2 linked regions of the Caenorhabditis elegans genome follow. The protein of the gene in region 1 interacts with the protein of each later gene in a pairwise test. Each region holds a gene or a part of one and is shown on either strand. Other genes may lie near its edges.

Region 1 (5,982 bases):
GTTCTCAATCAAACTCTTCCAACTGCGGCTGAGGTTTCGGATGTTGCCAGGTGCATACTCTGCCTGTTGTTTGTTTTCTATCCTACTTTTTTCAGAGAGGATGCTTCGACTTCACAGCCATCCAAAAGCCGATCCATGTACATTCGTCCCGCTGCCAGTCTTGATAATACCTTGGAGACACTTGATGAGAATTTGGATTCTTCACAAAGTCATGCCGGGCCAGTTCCAGCAGCTTCAACTAAGCCCAAAACACCATCCTTTGAGAAGATGATTAGATACAGTGGCATCAAAAAGCGAAGCACAATGGACATGGATAATTTTGTTCGTATGCTTGATGAAAAGATCAACTTTTCGCCTGAGCCAAGCACTTCAAGGTATGTTAACCATAATAAACGAATTCCGATGTACTATTATTTCTTTTCAGTGATATTGCCAGCTCTGTGAAAGGCTACATGTCTCAATCCTTCCTCCACCAACAAGATGACGAAGCTCCTGATTGCACCAAGAATGTTCATTCTGAAAGTGATTTGAAACAAGCTGAGCCACAAGAATCGGACAAGCAAAGGTGAGACTTGTGAACTTATATAAATAACAAGCAATTTTTTTTTCAGTGACAAGGAATTGCCAAGCAATGAATGAGACGTTGGACAATTGGTTCGCCTACAAGAACACACTTACTGTGCTGCCATTTTGTACCATAACAATTCTATTTTTACCATACTAACCAATTTCACAATTACAAATTATATTTTCCTGTGATTTTCATCAACCATCAACCCATCTTGTGCTGTATTTGTATCTCATAGTAGAAACCTCCCAGCAACTAATTTTGACTTTTGGCTCGCCTGCCAACATCAATCTTATTACCCAATTTTGTACCATAACACTCTCTATTTCTACCACACTAACCAATTTCACGATTAGAAATTCTTTTTCCTGTGATTTTCTTCAACCATCTTGTATTGTACTTGTATCTCATAGTGCTCAGTTTCAGTCTTACCGGTTTTCCAGTCACTGTCCAGTACAATTTCACCGACTATTGTTGTTTATTTCGATAAAAATATTTTGTTCTAAATGTTTGAAATTTGTTGTAAAAACTGGAAATTACTAATCCAAACATATATCTTTCAAAAACAAATACCCATTGAATTATTTTGGTTTATTTTAAAAGTCATACCGTTTTTCACATGATGAAGATATTGAGAAAACGAGTTCAGGTTTAATGGTAGGACAAACTTGTAAAGTTCAATTATGATGTGGCTTGATTCGGTGCATTTTTATATTTTTCAAGTGATCAACCTAAGACCTCATTTGATCAACGAATGCTCGTATTTAACTAGGTTAAGTAGATAAAAACGTGTGGATCACTTTTTTAGTTAAAAGTTTCTTGCTGAAACGTATAGCTTTTGGAGCATACTTATTGGAAAAGTCTAAATAGTCGCCGAAAAATTGAAAGCGAGTATTGGCCAGCACTGTTTTAAATAGTTCAACAGCAGAAAATTGCACACCAATAAGACTTCAGAGAATTTTATTTTGAGAAACTCTGAACTATGCAATTTTTTCTTGAAATCCCTACAACTCTAATTTCTGCATACTTTAAACTCTCAAACGCCAGAATTTCATAAGGTTTCTGAGAAATTTCAAACGATCACATTCGCCCTTTCACAGCTAACTTAGGTTTTCAAATTCAAAGAAAAAAATCATGCATAAATAAGAACCGTTCCATTTTTATCTGTTCCAGTTTACAATGGTAAAATCAATAATTCGCGTGTGCACTGTTTTCATCATATCCATCGTCACAGTTCCGTCACGCACTTGCTGCGTCTCTTCCCTCTCACTTTTCCTTCCGAGGCACTCCATTCAGTCTTCGTTCCATTACACGTGGACAGTGGTCCGCTCTCTGTTTCATCTGCAGTTGTTGCGAAATCTCTTTTTTTTCTTTTTTCTTAACATTTTTCTACAATTTTTCAATTTTTAGGTTTCCATTTGTTGCGCGGCAATGGAAAATTGTGATGATCTTTCATCGGATGAGAATCTCCCACCACCCGGAGATCACCGTCGCGAACAGTCCCAAGAAAGAGCGAGAGTCGGGAATCGTGATGAATCAGTTTCTTCGACCAACATGCGTAGTATTGGAGGTAAAAAAAAATAAATTTAGATTCACTATATTTATTAAACCGGTTTGTTACAGGTGCAGTTCACAACCAGCAGCAACTTTATTGGACAGACATGTACAATGGCTCAAATAATTTGGAGAATTTTTGGCTGTGCTTCTCTGGAAACACGTCTCTTGCCGATGATCCAACCGTTCAATCCGATTCATCCGCGTCCACACAAAGTAGAACTAACCAAAGTGGTACAATTGCACAGGAAACGGACAACAGGAATGCAAGCAATTTTCCGCCACGATCAACAACTCGGCGTGGACAGACATATGAATCGAGAGACGAGTCTCAAGGAGGACAGGCGCCCTCACATCAGAACCAGGTTCCAGGTGAGCCTCAAATCTAAACTTTGATTAGAAAATTATCTACGTTCACAGTGCATTACTTCAACAGTCGGGAGAATCATATATTCATGTTGTATGAAATTTTCTCTCTTTATTTCTTACTGAAGTACCGGGTAATAATTGAATGAAAATAAGTTATCAAAACATAACAAATTGATAAGGTTCCAATTTCTATTTATTTTTTATATGAAACATTTATCGGAAACATAAGTACAACTTCATTTATTCTTTGGCACTTCATATATTAATAAGCTAAATTGTTTCAGGTGTTGATCGCGATGAGTATGCAGGTGACCGGAGTAACGTTTCCATCAATCTACCATCCGTAGATCAGTGGCGCGAATACAGTTTTTCTGATAATTCGTTTCAAGGCGAAAGCCGGACTGTCCAACGGAGATCATCCCGGGCCACACATCGCGTCAAAAATCAATTTGGCAGCATTGGAGATGGGAGAACGAGCAATAATACGAGCCTCCAAGAGCCAGTGATTCAGGATACAAGAAATCGAAATCGCTCTGAATCTTCTTCCACCATGTCATCGCAATCACGAACAGAACATGCTCCAATTTTCCGGTTGCAATATAATTACCAAAGAGAGGCAGACAATAGATCTTCACGATTGGTTCAAATACAAGGACATTCGGCTCCAAATAATGCAAACGGTCTACAAAATACGGGCGGTCAAGCTCCAGACATTGGTCCTGAGGTCAATGGTCAGAGTTCCGATACTCGAGCAATGAACATGGGTAATCAGATGGCTCAAGGCGATTCCCACGTTCCAATGAATTTCGTACCAAGACCTTTGTCTAACGGTGTTCCCAGGCTTCACGGAGTTCCCAGGCTTGTAGACATGTACGATTATGAACTTGCTCAGAGGGCTCATGCACGAAGATATCCGACTTCAAATATGCCATACGGTTTTCCAAATGCCGGCTTTCAAGCTCCTCCACACATGGGTTTGTGGCCAAATAATCAAAATGCAGATACTCGAGCAATGAACATGGATAACCGTTCGAGAGATCGTACCTTCCAGATGCCTCCTGCAAACGCTCAAGTTCCAACGAGTTCTCTGTCAGGTCTATTCAATTCATCTATAAATCACGGCTCCGGGAATCAACAGTTCCAAATGGGACAGAGCTCATCAGGTTCTGCACCTCAATTGCCTGCTCTTCCGGAAAATTTCCTGATGGCTCATGCAAACTCTCAAATTCCAACGAGTTCTCTGTCAGGTCTTTTCAATGCAATGAATCACGGCTCCGGGAATCGAATGAACCACAGCTCATCAGGCCCTGCACCTCAGTTGCCCAATCTGCCGGAAAGCTTCCTGATGGCTCATGGAATTGGTCAAGTTGAAACAAGGTCCCCAGCAGGTCCCTCCAATTCCTCCATAAATCACGGCTCCGGGAATCAACAGTTCCCAGTTCAACAAAGCTCATCACGCCCTGCACCTCAGTTGCCCAATCTGCCGGAAAGCTTCTTGATGGCTCATGGACTCTCTCAAATTCAAACAAGTTCCACAGCAGGTCCCTCCAACTCATCTATGAATCACGGCTCCGGGAATCAACAGTTCCGAATGGGACAGAGCTCATCACGCCCTGCACCTCAGTTGCCCAGTCTGCAGGAAAGCTTCTTGATGGCTCATGGAATTGCTCAAGTTGAAACAAGTTCCACAGCAGGTCCCTCCAACTCATCTATGAATCACGGCTCCGGGAATCAACAGTTCCCAGTTCAACAAAGCTCATCACGTCCTGCACCTCATTTGCCTGATCTGATAAGGCAAGAGGAAGAATTTTTGAACACTCTGGAGTTTGAGCAATTTGCAAGGCGATTGTACAACGACCTACTTCCTGGAGTTGATCCAAATTATGATTCAGGCACATCAACCAGTAGGTGGAAAAATGTGTATTCTTTGATTTCAAATAATTTTAGGTGAGACTCCAGTGCTAAAGTTCTCAATAACACTAAAGGCGATGCTTTACGACTACTGGCGGACGATGGTGCAAATGCAGTATCGCGGAGCGAACATCAACTTCCTCCAATCCATTATTAACTTGAATGCCAGGTCTGCTGCTCTCAACAGCTCAAACGCCAGAGCCTCAGGCTCGGCGGATGTGCAGAATCAAACAGTGTCAGCGACGGTCGAAGGAGCAGATGATGCCAGGTACACACAGGAATCCAGTCCGATGCCTCGGCATTTTTTGGCACTCGCTGCATTAAAAAAAAGTTTGGTTATAATACACGCGTACCAATTAATTCTTTATCTGAGCCGAGCACATCAAAGTATTCCAATAAAAAAAGTACCAATTATAATTTTCAGTGCCAATGTCAACGCATTGAGCGACTTGCTGGCCCAATCTTTCCCACGCCAAGCAGAAGGAGAAGCTTCTCGTCGCAACGATATAGATCATCCCGAAGATGATCTGAACCAGGCTGATTCACCGAAATCAGACAATCAGAGGTAAGCGGGAAAAATAGTTAAATATCACATCTTTATAATTTCAGTGACAAGGATCCTCCCAGCAACTAATTTTGACTATTGGCTCAACTACAAACATCAATCTTACGACCCAATTTTGTACCATATCATTTCTTTCCAATTTTACCATTTCTAGTTGTTTTTCTGTGATTTTTTTCAACAAGCAGCCCAACTTGTATCGTACTTGTATCTCATAACAGGAACTTCTCAGCAGTTAATTTTGATCAATGGCTCGCCTACCAATAACAGCCTTATTACCCACTTTTTTACCATACCATTTCTTCTTACCATACTAACCAATTTTACGACTTCTAGTTTTTTCCTGTGATTTTTTTTTCAACAAGCAGCCCATCTTGTATTGTACTTGTATCTCATAGTGCTCAGTCTCAATTTTTTTCGGGTTCCTAGCCACTGTCAAGTATAACCTCACCGGTCGTTTTTATTGTTGTTTATTTTAATGCATACAATTATTTTTATTTATTTATTTATATTTATTCATCAGGCAACAATCACAATGACACAATTACGACAAAGCAGTGAAGTGAAGGAAAAAGGAATGAATAACTAGATATAAAATAATCATTTGGACCCGCAAGAGTCCGGTGACTAAGTATGAGGGGGGGAAGAGGGTAAAACATTGTCAACAAAAAGTTGACCGAGACGTTTTCCGAACAAAATTTCTGAGACAGGCTTGGGGAAATAAGGTACTATTTTATTCCAGTAATTAAAATTTTTATGCAGGAAACTGTCATTTTTAACGCCGCATAGCTTAATTCTGTAAGGGAACCGGGTTTTGCTATTTTGCTCAGAATCTTTGTAACGAGAATAAAGAAACTTTGAAGCCCAAAGGATTATCTTTTCGAATGAATTAAATGTGAGTTTTGAAAGTTTACATGTTGGTAATTGGCAAAAGATAGATCTTCGATAGTAACTTATAACATGATTTTGAGAAAACTGTTTCATGTTTGAAAGTGTAAAAACAACAGCTTATGAAAAT
Region 2 (5,418 bases), on another chromosome or scaffold:
TGAGATACAAAAACAACAACGTGTTTCTCTCTTCCGGTGGTGTATGAATAATAATAACTCGATCTGGAAACGAAGAAGGTAGGTAGGCAGGCAGGCAGGCCGAACTCACAATTCTACACTTCCACACTTTTCTAGTCGTTCGGCATTTTCAGCGTCCGTCAGCTTCAAGAAGTCCACAGTAGCTGCTCCACGAGCCAACAGAAGCAAGAGTAGAAAATTGATTAATTTTCCCATCAAAACCATTTGAGAGGAGAAATTGTAGAAATGATTGAAATTGTTAGGGATTCTTGGAATATAAATAGCTAGCGGGAAAGAATAAACGGGGATTTTTGAGACGTGTAAGGTTTACGCGAATATTTCAGGTTCTACATGCCAACCAGGGCTGGGACTTTTTTGGGGCCACAATCGGAAATGTCCGGCAATTGGCAATTTTGACAATTGCCGGTTTTGGAAGTTTCCGGCAATAGGCGATTTCGGCAATTGCCGAAATTGATTGCTGGACATTTCCCGCAATTTTCAAACCTTATTATATTTTGGAAATTGAACAAAGTTAACCTTATTTTTTAGTATTCGGTTAGCCATTATTCAAAAAAAAACGGTCAAAAGGATTAAATAATTTGGAGCTTGAAAATAGATAATTATTCATTAAAATGCATGTTTAGCCTCCTAAATCTATAAAAAGCTTCAAATTTATATTTCCGGCATATTAATCGGCAATTCCGGCGATTGCCGGTTTTCAAAATTTTCGGCAATGCCGAAAATTTGCTTGCCGAACGGCAATTGCGGCGCACCCCTGTTGCATATATTCCTGAGTGCCTATGGACCTACCTACATGCCTACCTTTTATTGTCGCCCCTAAATTACACCCCGACCCTCATAACAAACCTAAATGGCGTCATTAATAAAACTTAGCAGCCGACAAAATGTAGGCCAAAAAACATTTTTTTTCTGTTCTTTTCTCTGCGTTTTTTCAACGTGACCTCGAAGAGATAATACTCGGCCACCAATTTTTAAAGGATCTTTTTTGTGATCCTCAACTTGAAGCAACAGTGAGAGTGCACAAACCTCGGCCATGTCACTGGTTTTTATAGGTACCCACAATTCTACAGAATCATGGCCATAGCCGCGGATAGGGAAAACTAGGCTTACAGAACCAAAGTCATCAGCAATAACGTGGCCTAGAATGGAAGAAAACTCGGCCACCAACTTTTTTCCCTTCTAAACGAAAATTAGTTAATGACGGACAAACTGCATGAACCTCAACCAAGGTCACCCACAGATCCATGACCATGGCCGTGGATAGGAAAAATTTGTCCACTCTTACAAAACTGAAGTGGGGCGGTGGCCGAGGATTGAAAAAAAAACTCGGCCACCAACTTTTTCCCTTCATCGCCGCAAAAAAAGCAGTACCGTTCTTTTCTACCTCCCCAGAGTGCTCATTTTTCTCTGACCAAAGTCAAAATTAAAACTCTCACGAATTGATAAGAAGCTTTTCAACCACCCGCCTCCCTCCAGTCGTGTGATTGATAACTGTGTTTGATAACTATAACAGTGATTTGTACTCTCCTCACCCATTTGTACTCACTATGTTTCGTTCCTTCTAAAACCAAAAACTTTCAGCAATGCCGATTCATGTGGACAAACCGGACACAATGCAAAATGAGCTCATCGATATCGTGGCAGATGGGCTCCGATCGAATCAGATTTACACGTTTCGAATGATGTAAGACTTCAGTACATTATTTAAGTTCAAAAATTTTTGATACTGATGATTGATGTGTTGTGTAGTTTAGTAATTGCTATTTAGGCACAAGGCCAAAAAATGACCGAGGTGGCCGAGTTTTTCTTTTTTCAGCCACCTAGAAAATGCTGGGCGGTATCGAGGCTTAAAAATTTTAAACCTAGACTTTTCCAGCTTGAAACATGACTATGGAACTCACAAATCGGAAGCAACATTTCAAGCGGACCCCGCTGGAAGAATCGACTTGAAGTATGCGAAGCCCCTTAGAGGATCTTATTACGGTAGGTACACAATACCTAGAGTCACTCTAAATCAGATATTTAGATGCTGATCCGATGGGGTTGTTCCTTGGAATGAAGCCATGTGAGGATTTTGCATATGGTGGATATCTTCGGTGTACTCCGCCAGTTCCGTTTTATTATCTGTTGGAGTAAGTTTTATACTTTTTCTAAACTTTTGCTAGTTGCACTTCCTTTAAAAATTTCCGCCACAAGACTATGTACACAAACCCCTGCAAACATACAAAATTTCAGACTCTTTGATTCATCCGGAACCCTTATCGACTCTACCTACATCAAAAAGCACTGGATGCACCCAAAATTGATACGAACCGAGTTAGAGGAAGATTTCTGTGCGACACTCTTCAAACCTCCCGGTGATGGTCCCTTCCCAGTGGTCCTTGATATTTCAGGAACTGGTGGAGGAATCCATGAGCATAAGGGTGCTATGTTAGCTTCAGAGGGATTCGTTGTATTATGTCTTGCCTTTTTCCAGTTCAAGTATTTACCGCAAAAAATGGAAGATGTAGATATGGAGTATTTTGCAGTGAGTTGTAAAATTTGAGCACTAAAATTAGAAAGCTAATTCCAGAAAGCAATCAACTACTTAATTGATCTACCATTCACAAAAAATGTGATAGGTATACAGGGAGTCTCGTTTGGCGCAACTATTGTGGACTTGCTCACCACAAGACATGGCGATAAGGTAGGCAGAATTTATTGTTCTAGGTGAATGGCGCTAAATGATAGTTGACGAACTTCAGCTCAAATTAGTGGTGGACGGCAATTGCTGTTCGGCAAATTGGCAATTTTCCGGTTTGCCGATTTGCCGGAAATTTTCAATTCCGGCAATTTACCGGTTTGCCGATTTGCCGTTTGTTGGATATCAATTTGCCGAAAGTTTCGGCAATTGCCGTTTTTCCGGCAAATTTGGCAAATTGGTAATTCGCCGATTTGCCAATTTGCGTAAACTGCTAATTCCGGCAATTTGCTGATTTGCTGGAAATTTTCAAATCCGGCAATTTGCCGACTTTCCGGAAATTTCCAATTCCGGCACTTTGCCGATTTGCCTGAAAATTTCAATTCCATCAAATTGCCAATTTGCTGGAAATTTCAGTTTCGGCAAATTGCCGATTTGCCGGAAAAAAATCGTTTGCCGCCCACCCCTGTCTCAAATTCTGTCTGCCGCACATACTTTCGAAAAAGTGTTTAAAATTTAATAGAAAGCACGTGCAGGGGTAGCGTGTATGTGTAAATAGTCTGCAACTAGACTGCCATAGAAATTTTTGGAGCAAGTGCAATAATTTGTGCTCCAAAACAGTCCTATGAGGAAGTGAAGCGGAAGTGACACGGAGCACCGATTTTTTGCCAAAAGTAAAATTTTGGGAGGGTCGGGCGGAGGAGAGCGTTTTTTGAACAAGCAAAAGTTTTGCAACAATTTTTTTTGATAGTTCCTATGATTTCTGTCTTGTTACAATACCATGACACAGTTTTTTTTTAGAATTAGTAAAATCTGGAACTTGAAATGAAAACGAAAAATTCGCTTCAAAAAACCAGGAAAAAATTTAAAAAATTTTTTTTTGGAAATTTCAGAATTTCAATTTTTATCTACAAAATTGTACGCATTTTGTGAATGTTCTTACATCTATTTTGAAAAGTAAGCAATTTCTATGAAAATATCTAAAGAAAACAGATAAAAATTTCAAAAAGGCACAGTTATAAGTATTCCGTCTTATTAAAAATCCCTCTAAAAAATGACGAGAATGAAAATTTCCGGCAAATCGGCAAACCGGCAATCAGCCGATTTGCCGAATTTGTCGACAAAAAAATTAACCGAACTGCAACTGCCGCGCACCCTTGATCTAGACTGTTTTTTTTTTCATACTTTGCCAATCCTCCTTAAACAATAACCATAAACTATTTCCAGATCAAGGCCCTGGTCTCCATCAATGGCCCCCAAGTCGTATCTGACTACCTCTTCATGCAAGAAAACGGTGCCCCAATTCCTCATCTCTCCCATGGCCAAGTCACTTTGGAGCACTGTCAATTCATTAATGGAGTCATGTGTTCCCATAGAAACTTCCAGATTATGACAGAAAAATTGACACCAGAAACTGAAATTCCATGGGAACGAATCCCCAGTGATGTCAAAATTCGTGTAATTGTAAGTGTTCGAGCTGACGTTCAGCGGAAATTTTGTGAGCTTCAGGGATCCGTGGATGATTTGTGTCAACCATCGGTGCATGCAACGTATTACAGACAGAGAAGACTCAAGGAGACCGGGCATGATGTGGAGGTACTTTTTTTTTTAATTTGGAGCAATTTTTGAGCTCTGGCACCATTCAGGTGAAGCTGAGTGGCAATATGATTAATTGATAAGAGAATTATCAGAAAAAATAATAGTTAAGCATTAAAGAACTCCAGACAGTCAAAGTTCCATCAGACGTTTTTTTTTTCAACCGAAATTCCGAAAATAATCCGATTAACTCAGAGGTTTTTTATTCTAATAATATTATTAATTTTATCTTAAAATCGAGTCTGATAACTGAAAAAAATTTCAGGTTGAACTAGTGAATGGAGGACACATTATGGAGCCACCATACTTCCCACATCACGAACTCGTCTACGCAAAATACCAGGGATTCTATTGTGGATATGGTGGAGAAGTGGTTCTACACGCAAAATCACAGGAGAAGACATGGTCCAATACTATCAAATTCTTCCAAAAAGCTCTTGGAAATACAAAGAAAATTCAGGATTGGGATCGACTGACGGTTGTGGTGCCGCCGAGAAAAAAGAGCAAATTGTGATAATTTGAAACTTCTTTGAACATTGTCTGAACATTATGAACTTGAACATTTTGTGAACCTTTCCACTAAAACTCTTTATGCAGCAAAAGATCTCTTCACTTGCTTCGTCAGAAATAGTTTCAGGAATTTTCGACGTTGTGAGAAGCGCTCTTTCAGTGGGGTGATATATCACAAGCTTCACGCGAGAAATTTCATTCATTTTTATTTACGTGGAATCATTTGTAAAGCACCGTAGATTAACTTTTGGGGATAATAGTTGATGAAATTGAAGAAATGAGGATGATACCAAGGGATCAAACTCATTAAAAAATAACTGTGAATAATAAATCGATAATCAGTTCAAAATTTTTATCCTCAAAAATCAACTATTAAGCTTGCTTCTATTGCTCACTTCAATTGAAATGTCTACTACACCAATACCGATGGATTCCGCGGACGTACTCAGTGCCAAGGATTGCAAAAAGGTATGTAGCGGGGCTGTGCGCCAACCAGTGGTTGCCAAAGAAAACTAAAGGGCGATCATTAATTATAGCGGTCAATTAAAGTTATCTTAAAAAGCGTTAGAAAATTAGTTTTAAAAATTGAATCA

What was found.
Region 2: the proteins of meg-2 (region 1) and W03D8.8 interact in a two-hybrid assay, tested with the Caenorhabditis elegans proteins (one large-scale study listed by BioGRID).

What each region holds. Positions count from the first base shown.
Region 1 is NC_003284.9:13,922,126-13,928,107, reverse strand, and holds meg-2 (Protein meg-2), read left to right. Parts: upstream 1-1,978; 5' UTR 1,979-1,999; coding exon 2,000-2,138; intron 2,139-2,191; coding exon 2,192-2,494; intron 2,495-2,775; coding exon 2,776-4,395; intron 4,396-4,438; coding exon 4,439-4,670; intron 4,671-4,826; coding exon 4,827-4,967; intron 4,968-5,011; coding exon 5,012-5,036; 3' UTR 5,037-5,465; downstream 5,466-5,982. Other genes in the region: Protein meg-1, read left to right, coding at 1-50, 96-374, 425-565, 612-639.
Region 2 is NC_003279.8:2,790,067-2,795,484, forward strand, and holds W03D8.8 (BAAT/acyl-CoA thioester hydrolase protein), read left to right. Parts: upstream 1-1,620; 5' UTR 1,621-1,622; coding exon 1,623-1,723; intron 1,724-1,915; coding exon 1,916-2,022; intron 2,023-2,065; coding exon 2,066-2,171; intron 2,172-2,274; coding exon 2,275-2,566; intron 2,567-2,611; coding exon 2,612-2,725; intron 2,726-3,946; coding exon 3,947-4,183; intron 4,184-4,228; coding exon 4,229-4,315; intron 4,316-4,580; coding exon 4,581-4,829; 3' UTR 4,830-4,910; downstream 4,911-5,418. Other genes in the region: W03D8.1 (uncharacterized protein), read right to left, coding at 1-63, 110-243.